Lepisosteus oculatus: one gene and its partners. Each later gene encodes a partner of the first gene's protein in a complex. Links are inferred from orthologs where the notes say so. Each region holds a gene or a part of one and is shown in the gene's direction. Other genes may lie near its edges.

The links. Proteins that work in one complex are often made in the same cells at the same time.
Region 2: strip2 (region 1) and stk26 share a complex: the UniProt entries of both Homo sapiens proteins name them as parts of the core of STRIPAK complex. The link is inferred for Lepisosteus oculatus from reciprocal best matches to the Homo sapiens genes STRIP2 and STK26.
Region 3: strip2 (region 1) and serine/threonine-protein kinase 24 share a complex: the UniProt entries of both Homo sapiens proteins name them as parts of the core of STRIPAK complex. The link is inferred for Lepisosteus oculatus from reciprocal best matches to the Homo sapiens genes STRIP2 and STK24.

Annotation. Positions count from the first base shown.
Region 1 is NC_090702.1:33,448,573-33,455,624, forward strand, and holds the start of strip2 (striatin-interacting protein 1 homolog), read left to right. Parts: upstream 1-3,967; 5' UTR 3,968-4,045; coding exon 4,046-4,147; intron 4,148-7,052. UniProt on the Homo sapiens protein: Plays a role in the regulation of cell morphology and cytoskeletal organization. Required in the control of cell shape. Calmodulin-binding scaffolding protein which is the center of the striatin-interacting phosphatase and kinase (STRIPAK) complexes.
Region 2 is NC_090703.1:39,095,587-39,103,399, forward strand, and holds the start of stk26 (serine/threonine-protein kinase 26), read left to right. Parts: upstream 1-4,801; 5' UTR 4,802-5,287; coding exon 5,288-5,329; intron 5,330-7,813. UniProt on the Homo sapiens protein: Serine/threonine-protein kinase that acts as a mediator of cell growth. Modulates apoptosis. In association with STK24 negatively regulates Golgi reorientation in polarized cell migration upon RHO activation.
Region 3 is NC_090710.1:6,270,642-6,278,174, forward strand, and holds the start of serine/threonine-protein kinase 24, read left to right. Parts: upstream 1-4,521; 5' UTR 4,522-5,180; coding exon 5,181-5,222; intron 5,223-7,533. UniProt on the Homo sapiens protein: Serine/threonine-protein kinase that acts on both serine and threonine residues and promotes apoptosis in response to stress stimuli and caspase activation.

The DNA of each region.
Region 1 (7,052 bases):
CAGGTTTAGTTTTTAATAAGAAACTGTCTTAAATCCTGGCTTTTCCACTTCATCCTTGCCGTGACAATCCAGTACAGCAATGAGAATATGTAAATGCATTGAACCAGATGTGTCTATCAGATTGAAAAAAAAGGTTCTTTAATATTAACATTTTCCTCTTAGTTTCCTCTTAATAGTCATGGTCTTCTCAGTGCTGCTGTCTTTACAAAACCAACCCTCCCTTCTGGTGAAATATGTTTTAAAGCAAATCAATTTTGTTTAAAAAAAAGTCTGTGTTATGTTACCATTGTCTTGGAGGGAAAGAGTCTGCTGGTGTTTGGGAATGAGTGGTTTCTTACACGAGGGTTTAAATGGAGTGTGAAGATAATGAACAGACATTTTTCTCAATAAAAAGGCAAAAACCAGGATATTTTTCATTTTAATTTTCTTTTTCCTTTGTTTTCTTAAAATTATGGGGCCACAGGTTCATATTAGAATGAAGCAACCTTCTTAACTTTCAGACTCCTTGTGAAATACAGGCTTTAATCGTGTTATCATTTGAAGTGCTTTTAAAAATATGGGATGCGTGAAGCAATCTACTTTAACTACCCCTAGCCATACTAATCAATAATTCATTCAGAGGATAATCCTAAATGAATATGGCAGAGGAGTACCTTTCACTTGTCACTGCAGAATGGATTTTCACCGAGTCCCACAGCATGTGTTTGACAGGACATGGCTTTTGTTCCAATTTAATGTACACAGAGGAATTCACAACGTTTTAATTATTTAATTTCTTCCTCCGAAAAATCTAATATTCAGCAAGACCTGTGGCAACTCTTAATCACTTTCAAAACACAAACATGTAATGGTGCTTTATATCTGAGGAATCTAATCCAAAAGATTCCAAAATATACCAATTGACTGGCAGGAGAGGAAATAGATAGAAGTATATAGGGATATACAGTCCCTGGCAAGTTATTCAAATAACTTCCTACGGTGTCCCATTTTGTGAAATTACAAAATTCTGCATAAAAGTATTTTAAACTTAATTCATTCAAAACCTGCATGCTCAAACTGAATACTTCTAAGGGTTAAAATAGGTTACAGTAAACATCAGTAAAAACTAAATTCAGGGGAAAATTTCAAACACATGAAAATAATGCAAGCACAGGAGACACAAGCACCGGGTCACGGAGCTAATGCAAAGACTGAACACTGCACTGCCACTGAAGCAGGAATAAATGCCCAGCTGGAAACAAGGAAAGTGCTGTTAATTATGTACCAGTGGTATGGTCAACCTTCCCAACCATGTTGCCATAGGAACGGGTTGATTGGAAGATTGATTCAGCGATTGACTACCAGTTTGGAGTTATGGGAGCTAGAAACAGCACTTACCCGGGCGTGGGCATGACATATCTATGTTCATTCAGACTTGACAAGGTTCCCCATCCTTCCTGATGAGAACTACTGTTATAACATAATGCTTGATAACAGGGGTGGTGTTGCCTGAGTGATGCACTGTGCTGAGTTTGCACCAGAAATAATGCTTTACATTTAGATCAGAATATTCCAATTTTGTTATGAAATGCAACCTTTTCCCACATGTTTGCAATGTCACTGAGGTGCTTTGTTGCAAAATCCATGTGGGATTTGTTTAGTTACACACCCCTTTGTGGAGTGACTTGAATATTGTAGACCCATGGATATTTTCTCCCATCTCAGCCACTGAACTCTGTAGCTCTTTTGAAGTTGCTTTTGGCCTCAATGTGGTGATCCTAGAAAGTTTCCTCTTTGTCCAGCCGTTCAGTCTGGAGAGCCATTTTGGAGTTTGATCTTGTGTTGTGACCTAGGCAGGGTTCAGGCACCTTCCACTTCTTAAAGACTGATTTAACAGATTGAGGTGAGATTCTACACAAAAACTCAATGGGAATGTTTTGATCATTGAAAGGCTCGTATGTGTGTTTAATTCTGTGAATCAATGAAATACTTGCAACCAAATGAACAAGACAGGTTAAATGCCCTTATTTTGTTTGGAACCTTTCTAAGTGTGTTTATATATTGAAAAGAGCACCTTACCTGTCAATTCATCCTGTCAGTTTTCACATTAAAAGAACAAAATGGTTTTTTTTTGTGACAATCTAAGGATATCTCACAGAGCATTGTACTATTATTATTATGCATATACAGTACAGGTAAGTGATCATAATTGAACCTAGTCTGGTAAATACAGAAGCAATTATAGACACGTTCAAATAGAGAGGATGTAGGGGGACTCTTTATCCACTGGTTATGTCAGCATTCAACTGAATTTTCTGTTTGACTGGGAGTTTCTTAGTATTCCACTCCTATAAGACTATAGAGAGGAACATGTCATATACTTTTACGTTAAAAGAGTTTGCACAAACCATATACAATAATGGGGCAGAGAATCACAAAACAACTAGATGAAGAAAACCAAAAGCTGTGAGAAACTGTTTTCTTACAGTGCCTACTGTAGGCCAATATGCAACAAAGGTACTGAAAATCAATAACATAAAAAACAGATCTGGCATTAATAGTGCAGACAAAGTGAGAGTAACTTCAAATCCCTGAGGGACTACTGTGTAGCTGCAGCACAAAAAGGCAATCAGAATCAAGGGAGACCATCAGAAACTGACTGGTAAGATCAGCACTAAAATCCTGTTGACACAGTGGGATTTAATCCAGTGCTCTATATAGGTTTAAGAACATTAGCATGAGTGCTAATGGAGCTCTGCTGATGTACATCAATAAACAAGAGAGGACCATGCTCATTATCTATCTCTGCAAGAAGTGTACTTGAATGCTACAGTTATGCATATCGGCTCTTTGTAATTATCAATGCCATTATAGACATAGTTAGAACACCAGTGATACAGCATTAGAACAAGTAAGGTTAATCAAAATATTTAAACCCACTTACATGAAATTGTGTGAAGTGGATACAGGATTAGCATTAGTTTTCCCTCACGCTTCTCTAATCTCTAAGTGTCTCATTGTCATAATTATTGGATATGCATATTTAGATTTCTGTGGGATATCAGTAAACTCAATTATCCATATAATCTATAATCAGGTTGTATTGGAACAAACCTTTATAACAACAGCAGTGTAACAGTTCCAGTGACCTTGTATGTTTTTGGTCCTTGTTTTTATGATCGGGTGATCAGTTAAGACCTAACTCATAGACGTGCGTAATGAAAGATGACAGAAATCTCACGCAAGTCATGAAAAAACAAGTTTCTTATCTTATTGATAGGAGACCAATTTTTTTTCCACTGAAGTACAGAAAGTACTTTTTAATATGCACTGAAATACTGTACATATTATCATAGCCATGCTTCCGTAGATTTAGCCTTTTCACTATCGGAATCAAATTTACTGAAAATACGTGTCTGTACCTCAATAAATTGCATTTTGTGTTCTCCACAGGCGACTTCGTGTCTCGTTTAAAGCGCAAAAGGCAGCAACTTCGGACAGTTTACGTACTTCGCTTCTTGGACAGTTTACGTTGGTCGGATTTGACACTTAGCCCTGCTTAGGAAAATGAAACTTCACGTCTTTAAAAGGTCTTGTATCAAACTGCCTAAGAGCTTATAGTGCTGAAGACATCTTAAAATGTGTAGTAATGGACTGTCGAATGAGGTCTTCCTATTTGTAATTAAAATATTTCGTCTTCCATGCAAATATACCATTTTGACACAACGCCGCTCAAGTTCTCTCACTTCACCGTGCAGATTGTGACTGACATCCATCCCAACTCACAACTGCTGCCTGTCCGAGGTATGCGTGCTGAGGAATCCCATAGCCGCCCTCCAAGCAAACGCAGCTCCCTCACCTTGTATTTTATCGCTGACAGGCCGGCCGACCACTTCCAGCCCCATCTGCCGTAAGCCACTGCCCACAGTGGGACAGCCCGACCAATCAGCCCAGGGGGGACGGATTTCCTGAACTCGGAATCCCCCAGCCAGCTCCAATGTGACAGATTCGAGTAACTGGAGGCAGTAGGTGAGCAGCTGTGAGGACAGAGAGGGGCCAGGGACAGATGCAGGGTGCCGAAATGGAGGGATCTAATAATAACAGCGGCAAACAGAAGCCCCTTCCGAAAGTGAGAGAACTATTCAAGAACCAGAGGAAAGAATCGGAGGTAGGAGCTGATGGATGAACTAGAGTCTGTGTGTAGAAGGTACTGTGTGTGCCCGATAGTTTTTGCGTGCCCTACCTCTTTGGAAAGCGTGCTTAATCTGAGTTGATATGTTGTGACAGCTCAGACTACTGCTAAAAATACATGTGTGAATGTGCGGGCACACAATGTAATTTGATGGCAGTGTCTGGGATAATTTTGTAGCTGGCAGCGTGGCGGTATCAAGCAGAATGATGGTATGGATTTTAGAGCTGAGGACTTGTTAAACTTATTCCAGTATTAATTGATTAATTTTGAAAGGGAGGGCACTCCTTCTACATTTAAGATATATGCAATGAAATTATTATAAAATGTAAAAGATTTCAAAGAAAATCATGTATTTAAATTTAATCAAAACAATCCCATTTATCAACAATTCTGATATGTTTTTTTTTATTTTTCTCGGAATGGCATTCCGCCATTATAAATAAGCATAAAGAAAAAAAACATGCTTTTTTAGACAGAAAAAAAGCATACGAGAGCGACAGTACTGAGTTGGGATATATATATATTATACTACCATTATCTAAAAACAGTATCTTGTTAATCAAATGTGAACACGTTTGCTACACACAGTTTTTGGAAACTAGTATTACATCACCTCAGTTAAGAGATTCCATATAGCCTACCTTTCAATATTCCCATTTAAAGATTGATTTGTGTAGTGTACAATATCCGTTAAGCTGTTTAAATGTGTGAAGTGTTTATTCATTCTGTCATTAAAAATGAGCAAAATCAGTGTTGAATAAAATTAGACCATTTAAACCATCCAGTTATTTAAAACATTAAAGTGCAAAGGGAGACATTTTGTTTTGTAATGATACCAATTTATTTATTCGTACTGTTTTAGCATAAACAAATATTTGAGAAATGGGAGCTCAGTGTCCCTCTAGTCTCACTTTTCTATCACAATGAAGAGAAGATGCTGTCTGATGAAAGGTAAACACTCAAGGGCAATACTTTCATATTCCATATCTTTCTTTTATTTACTATGACATAGTGCTTTTAGTGTAGACAGATGAATCTGAAATTTTCATCTGTTTTCGCCATTCGCCTGCATTTTAACCGATGATCGAAGGCAACATTTTCCAGTGTATTTCTATACTAAAGCAAGTTTTTAAGTAAAACGTTATCTAACCAAATTTTACCCTCTTTTCCTGCAGAAATAGGATTTTCATTCTAAGTATTCTCCATGACCAATTTTTTAATCTTACCCTCTCGAATCAGAAATATTGGGACTTTATTTGAAGAAACCTCTTTAGATGCACACAGATTTGCAGTACTCTAGCTCTGAGGAAGGAAATGTTTTTGAACAGCTGTGTTATCAGTAACTTGAAAGCAGACTATGTGAGAGAGCCATATTAAAGCCCATGGGTAGTGTCTCGGTAAAACTTACCTTTTTCAATAGATAATTTTATTTTCTCAGAGAAATAACCATATGAAAAAAGTCTTAGGTTTTCATTTCAGAATGTATAAAGAGAACTGATCTCATTATGAACTGAGGTAATTATCTGTGGTAAACATGTTTCATGTTACAACTAGGAGCTAATACTGTTTTATTCTTTTCATGTGATTCATCTTATTTTATTCTTGTAATTTGCATTGTTATTTGTTATATACAGTAGAATAAGTAATAGTGACCCTAATTCCCAGATTTTCGTAAAGAAGGCTTTGCAGTGTGCAGTATGATTGTTTTTTGTGAAACACATTCTTAAGGAGTAGAGATCGATTTAAGACACACATATTGGAGAGAAGACAAACCTAATTCAGAGATATTTATATTCTTCTGTGAAAACTGTGCTGAGCAGTGATGATTTTAAGGCACCAAATCCTTCACTGCATCTTTTCCACTATGTAATCCTCCCCAAAAAGGAAGACATCTTGTCAAAATATGTTCAATTCAGTAAAGTAAAGAAATGGGAGATTTCAGAAATATCAATTTTCAGATTAACAGTGGAACATCTCTTTGGATTAAATGTTTTTTCAATGAAGTCATTTGCACGAAGCAGACCTAGCTAGTAAACTATAATCTAAGGATTTCTCTTATCATGCAGTAACTGTTTCGTTGTCTTCTGAAATCTCGACTGTCCACTGTTGTTGAAAAAATAATTTAAAGTGAGTTTCATTGATGGCAGTAAGACTCCTATTGAACCATTTAGATTTTAAGATGATGTAAGTATTTTTCTGTTAGCCAACACCTGTTTCTTGATATTTCTTGTGCATTAACTTAAATTAAGTACATGAACACAAAGAGGTGCAATGATATTGTTACTTGATCTGGTGTTTACAGTATTACAGTGGCATTTATTGTTAGATACTTGTTTCCTATTTCCATCGGAACAAGATTATAAAAGTGCCTGAAGAGTGAAATATGAAATGGATTCATGTGTTGTGTACTAGGAGCCTTCTTTACATCCACAAGAACATAAGAATGTTTACAATCTTATGAGAAGGCAATTTGGTCCATACAGCCTATGGTAGTTGGTAGTTAAGTGATCCAAGGATCTCATCCAGCCATTTGTTGAAAGAAGCCAGAATGTTGCCCTCAAAACCAGCTTGCAGCCCTTTCCATACATCCACAATCCTTTGAGTAGAAGTGGGTAGAGTGAGAAGTGAGTTGAGTAGAGTAGAAGTGTCTCGTGTTCTTGGCTGTACTTTCATGCCATACTGTCCAGAATGATCCTGGCGATTATGTAATTTATTATCAAGTTTATAATTCCCCCACTTTGTATTTTTTTTCCTCTTAACCAACCAAATGTTCTGTGTTTGGAAGTCCAGTATTATTTTAATGAAGGAATGTAGCCAGAAATTATCAGGAATGTCAAGTCCTTATGAAAAGAATGCAGTATGTATATCAATTCGTTTTTTG
Region 2 (7,813 bases), on another chromosome or scaffold:
TAAACTAGTTAGAAAATAGATGGCACCTACTGCAACTGAAGGACAAATATCATATATTTGGAAAGTAGGAATATATAGGACTGTAGGAAAGTCCTCCTGTTTTTCCATGTGAAAACGTTCCAGGAGGGTGTAGGGTATCCAGAAGCAGCTCCAGTCCTAACCTTCTCCCCTATCCTCCACTAACTACCTCCACTGAACTACACTACAAACCTGCACATTACCTGACTTTGAACTTTGTTCAATACAAAGCACAAAACTGCTGTGCTGGAGGGGCTATGAAATTGAAAAAGTGCCTTATATTGTGATTTTTTTCACCTCATAACTTAGTGCTTTATCTTAATATTTTGTATGACCCTTAGTTATGAAACTTGTGTACTGTTCAAATTTGTGGTGTCTATTCGTTTAGAACAGGGGTCTCCAAACCTGTGGTCCCCTATTTTTAAAGGGAAACTGAAGTCTCGATTTCTGAGAGCTATTATTAAATCTCGGTAACAAAATAAATTCATTGACAGCATGGAAAAAAAATTACAAGTTTCGAATTCCAAATTCATTAACTTTGTGAAAGTACTGTAAGTCTCCATGTTGTTGCAAACCCCTGGTCTCACCGTCAGACAAGAGCGAGATTTTGTAAGAATTGTGATGTGATGCAGCCCTTCCTGCTCACTAGTCACTGTAATGACTAATGTAATATGATGTACAGTAAGAACGCATACATACAGATTGTGTAGCAGACATTTCTCGGCAGAAGTGTTCCAACGTGGTCTGCATGCAGAGTTAACAAGTAAGTACTATTTGTCGGCAAAACCGTCTCGAAATAGAGAGCAATATTTCTGTTGGATTACAAGAGATGTATTCACAAGCCTGCTAGTTAACAATGTAATAGGGCTGGTTCATGTCATTGGCTGTTTTGTTGCCTCATTCTGAATTGCAGAATATGACTGGGTGCACCTGGAAATTTAGTCTATTTGATGTAGGTTGGAGGTTTGAAAGTTACTGTGTACATTTTACATTTATTATGGTTTGAAATATTCTTTCTTACACCGAACTTTAGAAAATATGGTTGCAACTACCCCCTTTCAAAACAAAGCAGGTGATAAATCAAAAAATGAATCTGCTCAATCAAGAATACTTAATTTTTATCATTAAATCGCTTAATTTCTCAAATCACCTGTTTAATCTATCGCAGTTGATCTATGGCTTTAGAAATTGGTAATTTAATGGTGACTTACAAAACCTCCTGAATTGGGGCTGCCTAGAATCAGGGTTCAAGACCCTTGTTTTAAAATGTAAGTTTAATAAAAGGAAAACTTTGCTAAGGTTATTCGTGCAAGACAAGGCACAGTCAGAATAATGGAAATGTTTTTTAAAAAATCTAATATGGTCACCACATTGTGACCTAGAGTCTGACCTTTTTACCTGTTACTATTGCCAATGGAATTATGAAAGCATGTTTCATTGGTTAATTATAGGGATTTTATAGTCATTAAATTATTTTTCACTACAAAATCTATAATAATAAATAGGTCTTCAGGAACTCTGTTGCTAAGCCCCCTAATAAATTGGACATACTGTACAAACAACCTGTCGTCTGAACTACTGTAGACATCAGGTTCAGTTGGGGATTTGACGTTTATATTCTATTTAGAAGAATAATGCAAATATTCCTTGGCTCTGTTCTTTCTCTATATGCGACCATGCTATTTAATTTTGACTTTATGCCAGCAGAGCGTAATCACAGAATTGCGTGCTTCAAATCACATCTTCAGCTGTTAAACGCACGACGCAGTCCTGTTAAGGAGATGCGAGCGGTTGGAGAGTTTGTCAGGCAGGGAGTTCCCTTTTCATTGTGATTTAAGTTAAACATGTTACTTCATTCCACCTCCAAAGACCAGACATTACTGAAAGAACAGAATCAAAGCGGTAATTCTGAGGCAAAAACGCTAAAGTTATTTAACAAACGTCTCCACAGCCCACCACATTCTCCAGTCAGCTCACCATAGAATATATAATTAACTAATACAATACTAAAAACATATGCAGTTTATAATGTTACTGTCTTAAATTGCTGTTTTGTCATTCACAATAAAACATACTGTACTTCTTGAACTGTACCGTCATCAACCAGCAGATGGAGACAAACGTTTAAAACCTAACATTTGTTTTCGGAAGTGGCGTTGTTTTAGATCCGTACTAATGCACTGATACTTGATGTAGCCTGTGCTGTTTCTTCGTTGGGCTGTAGGTGGCGTACGAGTGTTATTATACAATATAATAATAATAATAATAATAATTGCTTACACTTATATAGCACTTTTCTGGACACTCCACTCAAAGCGCTTTACAGGTAATGGGGACTCCCCTCCACCACCACCAATGTGCAGCATCCACCTGGATGATGTGACGGCAGCCATAGTGCACCAGAACACTCACCACACATCAGCTATCAGTCGGGAGGAGAGCAGAGAGTAATGAAGCCAATTCATAGATGGGGATTATTAGGAGGCCATGATTGGTAAGGGCCAATGGGAAATTTAGCCAGGACACCTGGGTTACACCCCTACTCTTTTCAAGAAATGCCCTGGGATTTTTAATGACCACAGAGAGTCAGGACCTCGGTTTAACGTCTCATCCGAAGGACGGCGCCTGTTTACAGTATAGTGTCCCCGTCACTATACTGGGGCATTAGGACCCACATGGACCACAGGGTGAGCACCCCCTCCCATCCAGGTGCTGACCAGGCTCACACCTGCTTAGCTTCAGTGGGTTGCCAGTTGTGAGTTGCAGGGTGATATGGCAGCTGATATATTATATTATAAGTATCTTTATAATAGGATATGGTGTGCGTTAGAAACGCAAAAAACGAAGGTTTGTACTTTTAGATGAGTGTTTTGGAGGATTTGACGGTGCTCACATAAATTCAGAAGAATGAGAAGATGGGTCTTTGCTTTTTTTAGTCCCCTAAATGTCTAGGGTGAGGTACAAACCCCCAGACTCTGCTATACAGACAGATACTTTGTAAGCATATGGGCCACTAACACTTAACATTACAAGCACCATGAACAGGCAATTAAGCATACTCACAAGACCTTTGAACCCTTCACTCAGTCTGGACTGTCACAGTACTGTATGATAATGAAGTCCACTAGTACTTAAAATCAATTAGAGCCCAGCTGCAGTCCCATCTCCTACCTCTAGGAGTCCTCATTCTTCATTCTACTGTGTTCATAGGACACGAATGCCCCCAAACTGATGTCAGATGCTTTTGTTCCAGTGCTAAACGTAGAGAGTATTTTATTCTCTGATAGTATCTTTAATTATGAGTAAGAACTAAGCCTTTTTTCTTAAACGTATCTTACTGAGACATTTCTTAGTCTGACCTCGCTGTGACATTCACATTTCCTGCTGTGTTGACCAGCTTGTGAGCTGTCCTTTGTAGTCATACAACCTACTTTGCCTTGACGTCTTTAAATAATTTTTAAAGGATGAAGATAATAATGTGGGTTTCTCAATTTCTTCTCGTACAGATATTGTTGTGCCTGTACTTGACAGTTTTGGCTTCAGATCAGACAGGTGTGTGCTGCTTGTCTGTACAAAAGAAACACACCTTACCGCTGGGCTCGTAACAGCGGGGTATGATGAGGATCAAGCAAACACCATGGAGCAGGTTGGATACAGGGGGAAATCTCTTCCACAAGTCCTTTTAAAAATAAAATCCAACCAAAACATCAACAAAGATAAAAGACAATTATTCTATCAAGAGGTTCAGAACTGCCATGCTTCTCGATACATTAACTTCTTTTAATTCACTGGAATTTTAATTAACTGGGATTTAATGGAAGCAGGTGGCGGGCTGTTTTATACTTCCATTAATATTTTTAAAATAAGGCATTATGAATCTTATCAATGTAATAAAAGTAAATCAATGTACAGTATTTTAATGAGAAAGGTGTGACCATGTACAGTATCTTTATAGAAGATTTGCTTATATACCGTTTGGAAAACGGAAGTAAGGCGAAGCAGTAAAAAAATAAATTAGTGCTCCCGAAAAAATAGAAAAAAATAAAACTGGTGAAATGTAAAAAATATCATATGGATTGAGGGGAAAGCCTGAGCCTAAAAAACATCAATACTAAAACGAAAACGAGAGCAATAGTTTTAGATTTAGCTGAAGAGTAAATCTTTCTTCCTAATATTTTATTTCCTGACACCTTTGATTAATGAAATGTAATGTTTCGTAGTAATGTTAGTTCATGCACTGTGTCCCCTTTTATACAAAAATCCCAATAATCTCTCAACGTTTTTTGTCATACATAAAATGTATTTGTCAACGTTGTACATCCTTTCAGACGAACTCTTTTGCTCATCAAAATGTGGGTTTATTTTTAATCCCCCAGTTGCTCCCTTTTCTGGCATATTCGATCACTTTTTAGCTGCAGAGCATTTCTAGAACTGAGAAAGAAATCTTAACTCAAGTTTGCGTCCTTCTTGGTGTCTTAAAGTACCACGGCTGTTAATTCAAAACTTTAATTCAGTTTAAATGACCACTAACTAAATCATTGCTATTTAAAAAAAAGAACTGTGAAACGGCCTGCTAAACAATATTTATCGTTGTTTGTGTCGAGCTCGTATCGCCGAAAGCCTTGAAGTGCGACTCTTACAGACGATGAGAGAAGGGCACATCAAGCAGTAACTGATGTGCACTGTAATCAGGCCTGTCCTGTCGGGAAGCGCTACGTTAGCAAGGTATAATGGTAAAACACGCCTCTCGCAATCCCGCACACACTGTAGTCCCTAGCAGCAGCGGCAAGCGATGACGTCTGTGAATGTGGTGTGTGTTGACTCTGGCTCAATAACACGGCTCCACCCAATTTAACACAGCGAGCAAGTAGCTACTTTAGGAAGCCAAACATGGCGTTTGCATCTCAGTTCTGAGATGCTGTTCAAGTGTTGCTTCGTGAAGAAAACACGAGAACAGCACCTAGGAGGTCACAAAAGCGACCGTAAAGCAAAAGGGCGCAGTGAACTGACAATCAGCCGACAAGGCATGGGAGCTTGGGCAGACTAGCAGTGAAGAGGGGTCTAGGCTTAAGCAAAGTTAAGCGGGGGGATAGCTGCAGTGTATGTAAGGGAATAATAATACTAGTGAGAAAACTTTCAGGCACGCACAGCGTTGCGACAGCTGCTCCTCGTTTATTTGCTTGGTGCAGCCTAAAAGCAGGAGAGAGGCTAAAAGGAGAATATAGCGCTGCTTTGGGGGAAAATATATCATTTTGGACTGGACGTGAAGATGGCCCACTCGCCGGTAGCAGTCCAAGTGCCAGGGATGCAGGTAAGTAAGGCCTCGTTATACAAACTTCACCTACGGCACTGGAAATTGCCCACACAGCACAGGAATTGCGCATATGCGGCTCCTGTTGACTCCGAGCGCTTCAAACCGGCGGATTGGCAGCCAGTTTGCTAGCCCTGGCTTTATTAAACAAAAGCCCAAAGCCGTGGCGTTATCACAGTCATTTTAAAATTTGTTTTCAACGGTTCGGTTTCTGAATCATCACCGTGGTACAAAACGGGAAACGAGAATTATTCTTGTTCAATGGGTCTAAACCACACAGATTAGCCGATCACTCGCGTACTCTAAAATATTGGCAACGCAAGCGCATCCCCATAATGTATTTGTGAACTTTGAAGTTTCTCTCGGCTTCTGTGGTCATGCAGCCTTTGTGATTAAACTGTGCGATTTATCTGCGCCGAAAATAACTTGCTGCGTTTTAGAGTCGCCTCCTTTTCTCCTGTTTTTGAACTTCGGCCAGCCGTTAATTTTAGCCTGGTCTAAAACTTTACGTACAAATCAATTAGCTAGGATCTTCCGTATTGTCAAGTTGGCTGTGTGCGCCTTAGTGAAGAAGAGAGGACAAAATAAACCCTGCTATTTGTCGTGATGGTACAGGTTTGCATTATACATTTGTGCACTATGATCGCTGTAAACAGAGACGATTCAGGTGTTTCGGTAGTAGTACAGGGTACGATTAACTGGTACTTAATGTACCTTAAAAGCACAGGAATGGTTGTAATTCAAATGTCAAGTACAGGTTTAATGTAATCGGAACTGAAATCCCAACAAAAATGTAGTTTTTATTTATCGTTGTGACGTATTTTTATTGTTTTACTGTTGTCGATGAAGAATGTGTCGGTTAGACGTTGTTCCTACGTTTTATTACAGAGCGGGCAGGCAATGTTTAAATGGGCTTTAAGGTACTAGTTACGTGCTTATAGCGAGTCTCCGGGCATGTTAGTGTCTGCTTGTCTGCCCTTGGTACATGTGATCCAGGACAGTTAAAATTACGTAGGCTTCCTTTTTTTCACGAATGTTTTGCCACACACTTTCCAACCGTCCGTGGACGTCTGCCTTCCAGCCGGAAGCATTGGCTAGTCGTTTCAGTTTGAATTCCCTGTATACTGTAAAACCTAGCCACCTCCGGGCACACTTAAGCGAGCATTGTGGAGTTTAAGAGAAACCACAAGAGCAATCTGTAAGCCCTGGTAAAGTTTTAAGCCTCACACACCCAACAGGTGTAATTATTTCTGCTGACCAGGCATTCATTAGTCACACCCATTATTAATAATTAATGGGGAAGATCCACTTGTTATAGATGGAGAAATACCCTCATCTTGGTTAAGTTGATCTGACAGTTCCAAATAAGGTACTGAAGTGCCAATCAGCGTTATTAAGATGGTCATTACAGCAGTGTAAATGGCTTGCATTTAAGAATTTTTATTTGGTGTTGTATTTTACGAATGGTTTATGGTCTTCAGTTTGATCGGATTGTGTTGAGTCATTGCCCCTGAAACTAATTGGAGTTACTCATTGCTGGGCAGTTACAAGCTACAGGACACTGTAGCTAAGGAGTGGCTTGAGATTTATTACTGGATTAGAGAACAGCAACATGCCCAATCTGTTTTATGATTTAGGTGTGCCCCTTTCCTATAATTACCATTCAGTTAAAAAAGAAAGTGAAAGCAGCTGTGAATCTTCAGGTTTTTCTTCTTGAAGTTGATCATTTAAATCCGTTTATGATAAACCCTTTCCCTGTCTGTAATAATGTAATAGCATGCCCATGGTGGATTAGACTCCTGGAAATTAGTTTTGTGTGTATGTGAGCCTTTTCATGAAATAGTCACCAGTCTTTTTTACTAATTTAATTGTGTATGAGAGACCTTTCCCCTGTCCTTGTTTGACGGTGGGGAGTGAAGCTGGTAGCTGTGCTTTGCCTAGGATAGAACAGCTATTTAATTTAATGCTATCACTTTAAATAAATTCTCTGACCCCCTGCCAGACTGAGAATATAATTAACAGGTGTTAGAATTTGTTTAAACAGAACAGTACATTTTACAAAGGTGTAGGTGTAGAAGCGAGCCTGATAATGGTTTAAGTAAATCATGTATCAAGCAAGACTTAAGGTATACATGTATGCTGTACATACAGTAAATAGACATCCTAGTCTGCACTAAACGCATGATTATTAATGATTATTACAAAGAACTGTCTAACCATGGGTAGGTGATTTGTAGTATTCTCCTTGGCCTTCCATTGAGGAGCAGAGCCCTTTCGCAGTGCATTGAAAACATCTGGAAACCTGAAGTATTTGCAACCTGCTCCCGGCACATATTTTCAAAGGGGGAGTTCCAGGTTCCAGGGAATTAGTTTAATTGGACACAGGAGAAGGACAGCACCCTGATCGTTTGTTTTTGTACACTTTAGGATAGAGCAAGCCTTGTGTGCTTTTTGATCACCATCTGGACAGCCTCAAATACCCAA
Region 3 (7,533 bases), on another chromosome or scaffold:
GGATATTCTGCATGACTTGTTTTCTTTTAGCAGTCGTCCTAGTATGGATCATTTATGCCCTCTCATTGCAAGTTAGTTTCTTGCAATGACAGAACTATGACAAACAAGTATAGAAAAAAAAACAAATGCTGCCTTTTGTGGTACCATTTGATGTATATTAGGTAAATGAGGTTAAGTGTTTTGTGCATTATCAACAGAGCTAAGTGCCCCTTGTATTTCCCTAAGACTACTGGACTCAGTACCCCAAGGTACCACCCACAAACCCTGGATGAAAATAAAGATATGTGCCCTGAGCTTCAGTCAGAAACTCCAAATTGTGCATGTTAGCTTCTAAATCTCACAAGATGATAGATAAACCCAGAGCTGTAGACTGAAACACTAAGTGCCCTGAGTTGTATCATCTTAGCAGAGGGTCCTGGGTAAGCAGATGACTACATCCATGAAACATAAATCATAACAGTCAGTAGAATTTATTCTGTAGAGGAACTGGGGAAGCCAGTGTTTTTTTTGTTTACTTTTTCAACGGAGAATGCTAAATGGAGAACCTTTGTAGAACAAAATCAGTTGAACTTTTCTGGGGATTTAATCTAATAATCTGAGACCCAATTTAATTTAAAATAAAAAAACAATTGCTCCCCCTTACAAATTTATAAAAATATAGTTCATCTGGTGAAGCAGTGTTTTGAAGTAATATCTTGTTATCTGTCCAGCAACATACTTCATACAGTCTCATATAACACGGTGTACTAATGTTTTGCACAAAGCTTAAACTGTAAAAACTCTATATGAAATCGTCTCATCGGTTATTTCAGCCATTGCATCACAGTTGCTAATTTTTCCTGGAACACTTTGGTATCTGACAATCTGAGACAAACAGCAGAACACAAGAGATGTCATTAACAGTAGTGCTGTGCTTCTAATAGTTTTACCCAGGTTATATTGTGTTTTTACCATGCTTGTCCGTTATTTTCTTATATAATTCCTATTGTTCCAAACATGCTTTACCGTGCCAGTAGTATACTGCATCGTATTACCGAGTAGATCACTGCTTCTTAAGATGCATGTAAGAAACTTTTTAATGTATAGTTCCATCAAGCATATCTTTGTTATTGGCTTGACTTTAAATGCTTTTAAATTATTTGCTGCTTCATCATATTAATAATTCCAGTTAATTGTTGTTGTTCAAAGTGTTTGATTCCGGCATTATATTTCCTTATTAATAAACATACAAACAAACATCATCTGAACAGACTATGGAGTGTTTTCAGCTGCACAGATTCGGCCATCCTTGCGTTATGAAACAGTTCTGAAGTGTATGTATCAGAGACTCTTTTTAAGATAAAGCCCCAGTTATTCAAATCAAAATCTGGGGCTAAAAATAGATTTGACCTCATTTTATACGAGATGTTCTCTTTCATTTTGCACAAGAAAGACTTCAATAAATTCAGTTATGGCTATATTTCCATCCATGTTTTTTTTTCTCCCTGTGATATTAATATGCATAGGTAAATAATACGTATAAATATTTTAAATGAAAAATTACACATGTTTCCAGAAAAGATATGCTTGTTGTTCTTTGTGAAATCAAGATGCAATCTTACTTAATGCCCTGATCATTTTGAAGCAGTATTAAGCATGCTTAATGATTTCGTGTTTATTTAAAATGTAAAAGTCAATGAATGGACCTGCCGAATTTTTCTTTTTGTTTGTCATCTTTCAGTTTGTCATCAATGCCAGTTATACAGTAGTTAATTTGTCATTGTGCTTATTATATCTGTTCCAGTTGTTTCATATTTATGTATTACTGTGGATGATATCTCAATAAGACTCCAAGTAAGAGAATTCAAAAGCAAAAGCAGTTATGTACACTGTGAAAGAGAATCAATACTAGGTAAACATTTGTACTCAAACCACTTAAGTATCCTCCTGTTGTTATCTTTTAAACTCTCGTTAATAGACATCAAATGTCTTCAAGGCCCTTTTAATTACCTGATGTTTTAAAAGGTTTGCTGGATCATAATTGTACACAACACGTGTATGTGTTGGGGAGTCAGTGTTAGTGCATGACATTTTACACAAAACTATCATTTTCCAGAAAGAAAAACTTTGTATTTACAAAAAAAAACTTTAATTTGCTTTGTGGACGAAAAACTCTATTCATTTGAAGCTGATCTACTTATCTTCATTAGAATGTGAAATGTATTTTATTTTGGGACTTATTTTTAGTTGATGTTTTGAGCCTATGTGACACAGGTGTGAAGTGTATTTCAAGAAGTAACTGTAACACTGTCTGTAACTGCTTGTTTAGCCAGTTACAACGTGATCCCTAGAGAAACTGTGTGGTGTTGAATTCTCCTATGAAGGGAGGCCCAGCCTTTTGACATAGTGGAGTTCACCACTGTCTGAGGAGGTGCTGAGCGGAACAAAACTGGCATGTTGCTAAGAGATGGCGATCTGATCCCAGCTGTCACATAATCACATTTTGTTTAATGTGATGGTAAATGATTCAGTAAGTGTATGGTTTGCTTTGGATGGGAGAATTAAAAATGACTCTAGTTTTCAATATATCCAGCTACTGTACATGACATAATTTATTCTGAATAATGTTTTACTGTATATAGCCTAAAAGGCTCTTTTATGGAGAGAATGTACACTGGGTTTGTGTTTAGAAGAGCCAAGTTTTTTGTACTGGCTTACTATTTAATTTGTGCCTAATTATTTTTTTCCTTTATGAAAATACAATAATCGGAAATTCAGGTATAAATTCCTCAGGAACTAAGATCCAATGTAATAATAAAAATATAAAATATAATCTTCGTGGGCATGCCATGTTTGTCATGCACCATACAGGTTAACATGTCACTTTAATAATTAAAGGAACAAGCAGATGTTAATTCCATGCTGAAAAGCAGAAGGCGTGGAGCCTACTGCAGGTGTGTTATTTAATAATTAGGTGCATGCTATTTAAATATACATTTTCCCGCCGTCACTATGAGAGAAACGAGTCATCTTAGCCCGCAAACCCACACCACCCGAATTCCTGGTTTTTCAACCAGAGGGCACTGTATTTCCATCATCGCCTTCTTTTGTTGTTTTAATAAATAATTTTAAAACTCCATATCTTGATAACAATATATAGTTTTTCACTAATGTTGACCCTTTTTTATTTTTTTACTTGTTTTTGACTACGTGACTGTCTTACATAAAGAGCAAGTGTGAAGCACAAGTTTTGTTGTGAATTTTTTCCTAACTTAATGAACAAAAGCCGTGAACAAATTACATGACACTTTCCATATATTGAACTGTTTCCTTAATTTACTCCCCAGTACAGTCACTGTTGGAGATTTGTAGGAATCGGACAGAACCCAAATTGAACGGTATAATCGCATGTCCAGGCGATGCACTGAGAAAATGGCTACAGTGTTAATGGTCTGCGCTTTTTCTCTTGAACCAAAAGCTTTGCACAAGGTACAGTACGTCCAGCTGGACAGGTGAAACTAGATTTTCACTTCTGTCAGCAACTCGATCACGGAGAAAAGGCATGTGTGTGGTTATTTCATCACGAGTATTACATATTTGCGGTAGCCAGCATAAATGCAAGTAAAACAAAAAGTAGGAGTCAAATAATCATCCTTATTAATCATAATCTCCATTACAATATAGTAGACGACCGCACATTGCGTGTGCTAATTCACACCTTTGTTGTGCAAACTTGCATCAACAACGTGACCCAAGTGGACAAGATATTTGAAAAAAATGGTCCAAAAGTATGGTCATTGTACCGACCAGCAGTCATGCATTTTTTTTACATAAATACTACATCCATCTGCTTTCTAATTACTTTTTCCAATTCAGGATTGCGGGGGAGCCACCCAGTTACACCTAGAACCTTAGCGGGAAGCCAAATCACCTACAGCGTTTTTGGTAAACGGAAACCCGTGCGAACGCGGACAGAACAGACAAACTCCACGCAGACAGCAGCGCAGAAATTGAAGTCAGGGCCCCAGCAATACTAACCAATGCGCCACCATTACGGTTACCATTACATGGGTTAAAGTTTCCGTTTCCTTGGGGGGCCTAGGCGAGAACACCCGTCTATGAATATTAAGTTAATCTTCAATGGTTTATGGGTTTTTTTTTTGTACAGCCATCAAATTTATATCATTTCTGTCACAAATCCTGTGCTCGAACGTGCATATTATATCCTGTGCATATTATAACAACTGCACGTTTCGGGCGAATGTAATTGCATAAGCTTAAAATAACACATCCAGGTGGATGCTGCACATTGGTGGTGGTGGAGGGGAGACCCCATTACCTGTAAAGCGCTTTGAGTGGAGTGTCCAGAAAAGAGCCATATAAGTGCGAGCAATTATTAATTATTATTATTACTTTTGCACAGCAGAGCAGAGTAGAGGCTGGCCAACATTCTGCCCGGGAGTGAAGGACCGAGCGAGCCGGGAAGAGTGGCTCCCTCTGCCGGTGCAGGAGCGCCACTGGGCCTGGGAGCCCGGATCCGCCCTGATGTCAGAGTGACAGTGCTGACAAGATGGCGGAGGGCAGGAGAGCAGAGTGAGGAGGACAACACAATAATATATCGTAACTGCTCTAACGCTGATTATCATTTTAAGCGCTACTGTAGGGTGGGTTTCGAAACACGGGCGCCACCTTTTTGGACAAGCAGTGGTGGGATGGTAGCGGAGCACATGCACCCTTGTTTGTGTGTTACGGTGGGAGATCTGTCCACGGAAGACGAATTGCACACCAAAGCAAAAAGCCTGCGCTCCCTTTCGTGAAAAAAATAAAATGCCGAGGCACAGCACGTCACCGGCGCGTATATTTTAAAAAAACTGTCTCGGACTGTGATCCGTATGCGTTGATTTTTATTTTTTTATTTTTGTAGTTCATGTTCTGGGGGTAAATAGTTTGGTTTTCATCCAAACAAAAAAAAAGGGAAGGACCCTTCGGAAAGCTGGGTAAACCTGATCCGGGCTGCCAGAAGTCAGTCTGTGATTTTTTTTTAAATTTATTGTTTTCTGTGGATAAATTCTCGTATCTACAGGACATAACCTACAAATCAAAGAGGACAGGAATATACAAATTCGCATTTGCTGGGATCCGAGTTAGGAGATCGTGTTGTTGTTTCTTGACAAGTTCTCGGGCTCAAACTGCTGTACGCCATGGCTCACTCCCCGGTGCAGACTGGCCTGCCTGGGATGCAGGTAAGACATTCACCTTCCGTTTTCTTTAAATGTTCAACCTACTAAGTGGGAAAAACATTACACGACCCTGAAATGCGTACCGCGGCAAACAAGACACAATCGTTACTTAAAAACATCTGTAGCTTGCCAAGCGGCAATATTGTATCGCACTAGGCGGAGAACTGCGGTGAGACGTTGTGCCCAGCAGTACACGAAAGCACATTACTCGAAATCGTGGCGCTCCAGCCGGCTTCGACTCTGTAGAGATGTTGCTTTTGGTGATGCAAACATTTCCCCCTTCCTGCACTTTTAAGTGTAGGAGTAGCGAGGAAGTGGGGGGACTACGAGAGGCCTGTGAGACCTTACCCGCTCGAGTCCCGTGTTCTCCGGGGCACTGGAGTAATTGAGAGCCGTCCGTAGGGACAGGACCACCGAAGTGCAATGTGCATTGCTGTACTTAATTTCCTAGCGGAATGTTGCGTTTGTTAACAGCCGAAACATAAGAACACTAACAGGAAAAGAGGGTCTGTACAGCATTTGCCTTTAACGACAAATGCACTTTGCAAGAGTTAGATATAAGGACGGTAGATATGCATCTTTTCTAGGGGTTAAACCTTTGAATAGTTGAGGGTAGAAGAGACGCCCTTGAGGATGTTTACTTTCAACATTTTTTTTGACGATTTTGGCCTGTAAAGGAGAGCACTCATGCCGTATTCTTTGTAGCAGGATGGTGTACCGAGTGTAACCTTTACATAGAGCAGTAGAGTTTGCTTCGTTGTGGGGTTATTTAATCAATAAATATAATTTTTGATTGGACAGTTGTTCTATTTGGGACGTATTGTAAAGAACAAGGGTTAGATTAAAATATAACGTTAATTACAATGCTGTTGGAATTGTCAGCAGACGACTTGAAAATTTGAATCCTTTTGCAGTTACGCAGAAAAGGTGCCTCTAATTTAAGGTCGTCAGTGTCTTGATTCCGTGCACTTTTTTACTGTATTAACCAAGTAGATGATCACAGAGTAAATCGTCACCTAACTGCTATGTTAAATGCCTATTTGCTTTCGGCACCGACGTGGTAAAAAAAAATATTTTTAAAGGAATCACTTTAAGATAATATAAGACCTAAAGGAATACGAAATAACCTTTTAGTACGTTTCAGGCTGACATGAATGCATTACTGCATTCAGGCTGCTCAATTGCTCAACTACAAAGGCTGTTTAGAGATTAATGGATTTCCGCCTTAACAAGTGTTAAGTAGAAAATTCTCTCTAGTTATGGCTGTGAAGCTGTGATGTCATCCATAATTGACACATTGGCAAATTGTACGTCATTGGGGCCTCATTATGTATCTGGGATTGAATTGGTTGTTGAAGTGTTTCCCCCAATCAGGCTTGTATTCAGCAGAATTCCTAGTATTCTAAGAAATTTAGCTAAAAACGTTGACCGTTGAAGGGGGACTGAATGACTAAATGCTTTGCTTCTGCATGTCTTTACATGTGACATCCTAATGATTACACTAGAAATAACACCACAATTTACAAAATAAGTTGTAAACCTTGCAAAAAGAGATGTTTGGCATGTTCTTTGTTGTAATGTAGAAACTAAAGTTCACAGTGTGTACTGTATAGATTTCCTTTTTGCTACTTCTATTCAGAAATAAATCTCCACTTTCTGCACGCAAGACTATTTTACAGAGCTAGACATTTACAGTTCATGCTATCTTTTAACTTTTTAAGTGCCATCTAAAAGGATGTGAGATAGTGTGCATAAAATGTTTTATCTCTGAATTATTCCAGATAGTTTTAAATCCAAAAATGCAATCCTTTAACTTAAATTAGGACTAAGCATTCTGATTATTAATTTCCAATAGCTATCAGAACATGGGAACTAAAGGGATGTTTCAGCATTACCTGTTACTTAAATTAGTCATTTTCAAGCAGACTGAACAGGAAATAACATTGGCATGACAACTATTTAGCGTGTCAAAGTATGTTTTAGTCATTTTGTGTAGAACATGATGTAGATAAATTAAATCTCTCATCCCGAGTTCAGCCGACACATTCAGACTCCTAAGAATGAATGCTGCAGTTTAAACAGCGGAGATTGTACAGTCGTCATAGTGTGACGTCTGTGCACACTTCTGGCCTCATTCAAAAGTTGAGCCTTGTGCATTTGGAGTTTTTCTCTCCTTTTACATTCTCTACCTGTTTCCCATGGTAGAGCTCACATAACAGAAGTTACAATGTTCAGTCCCAGGCAGCCCTCTCTTCCAGCAGCTGGATGGCTTTACTTTCTCGCCTTTCTGTCCTCAAAAACTTAATTTGTAGCT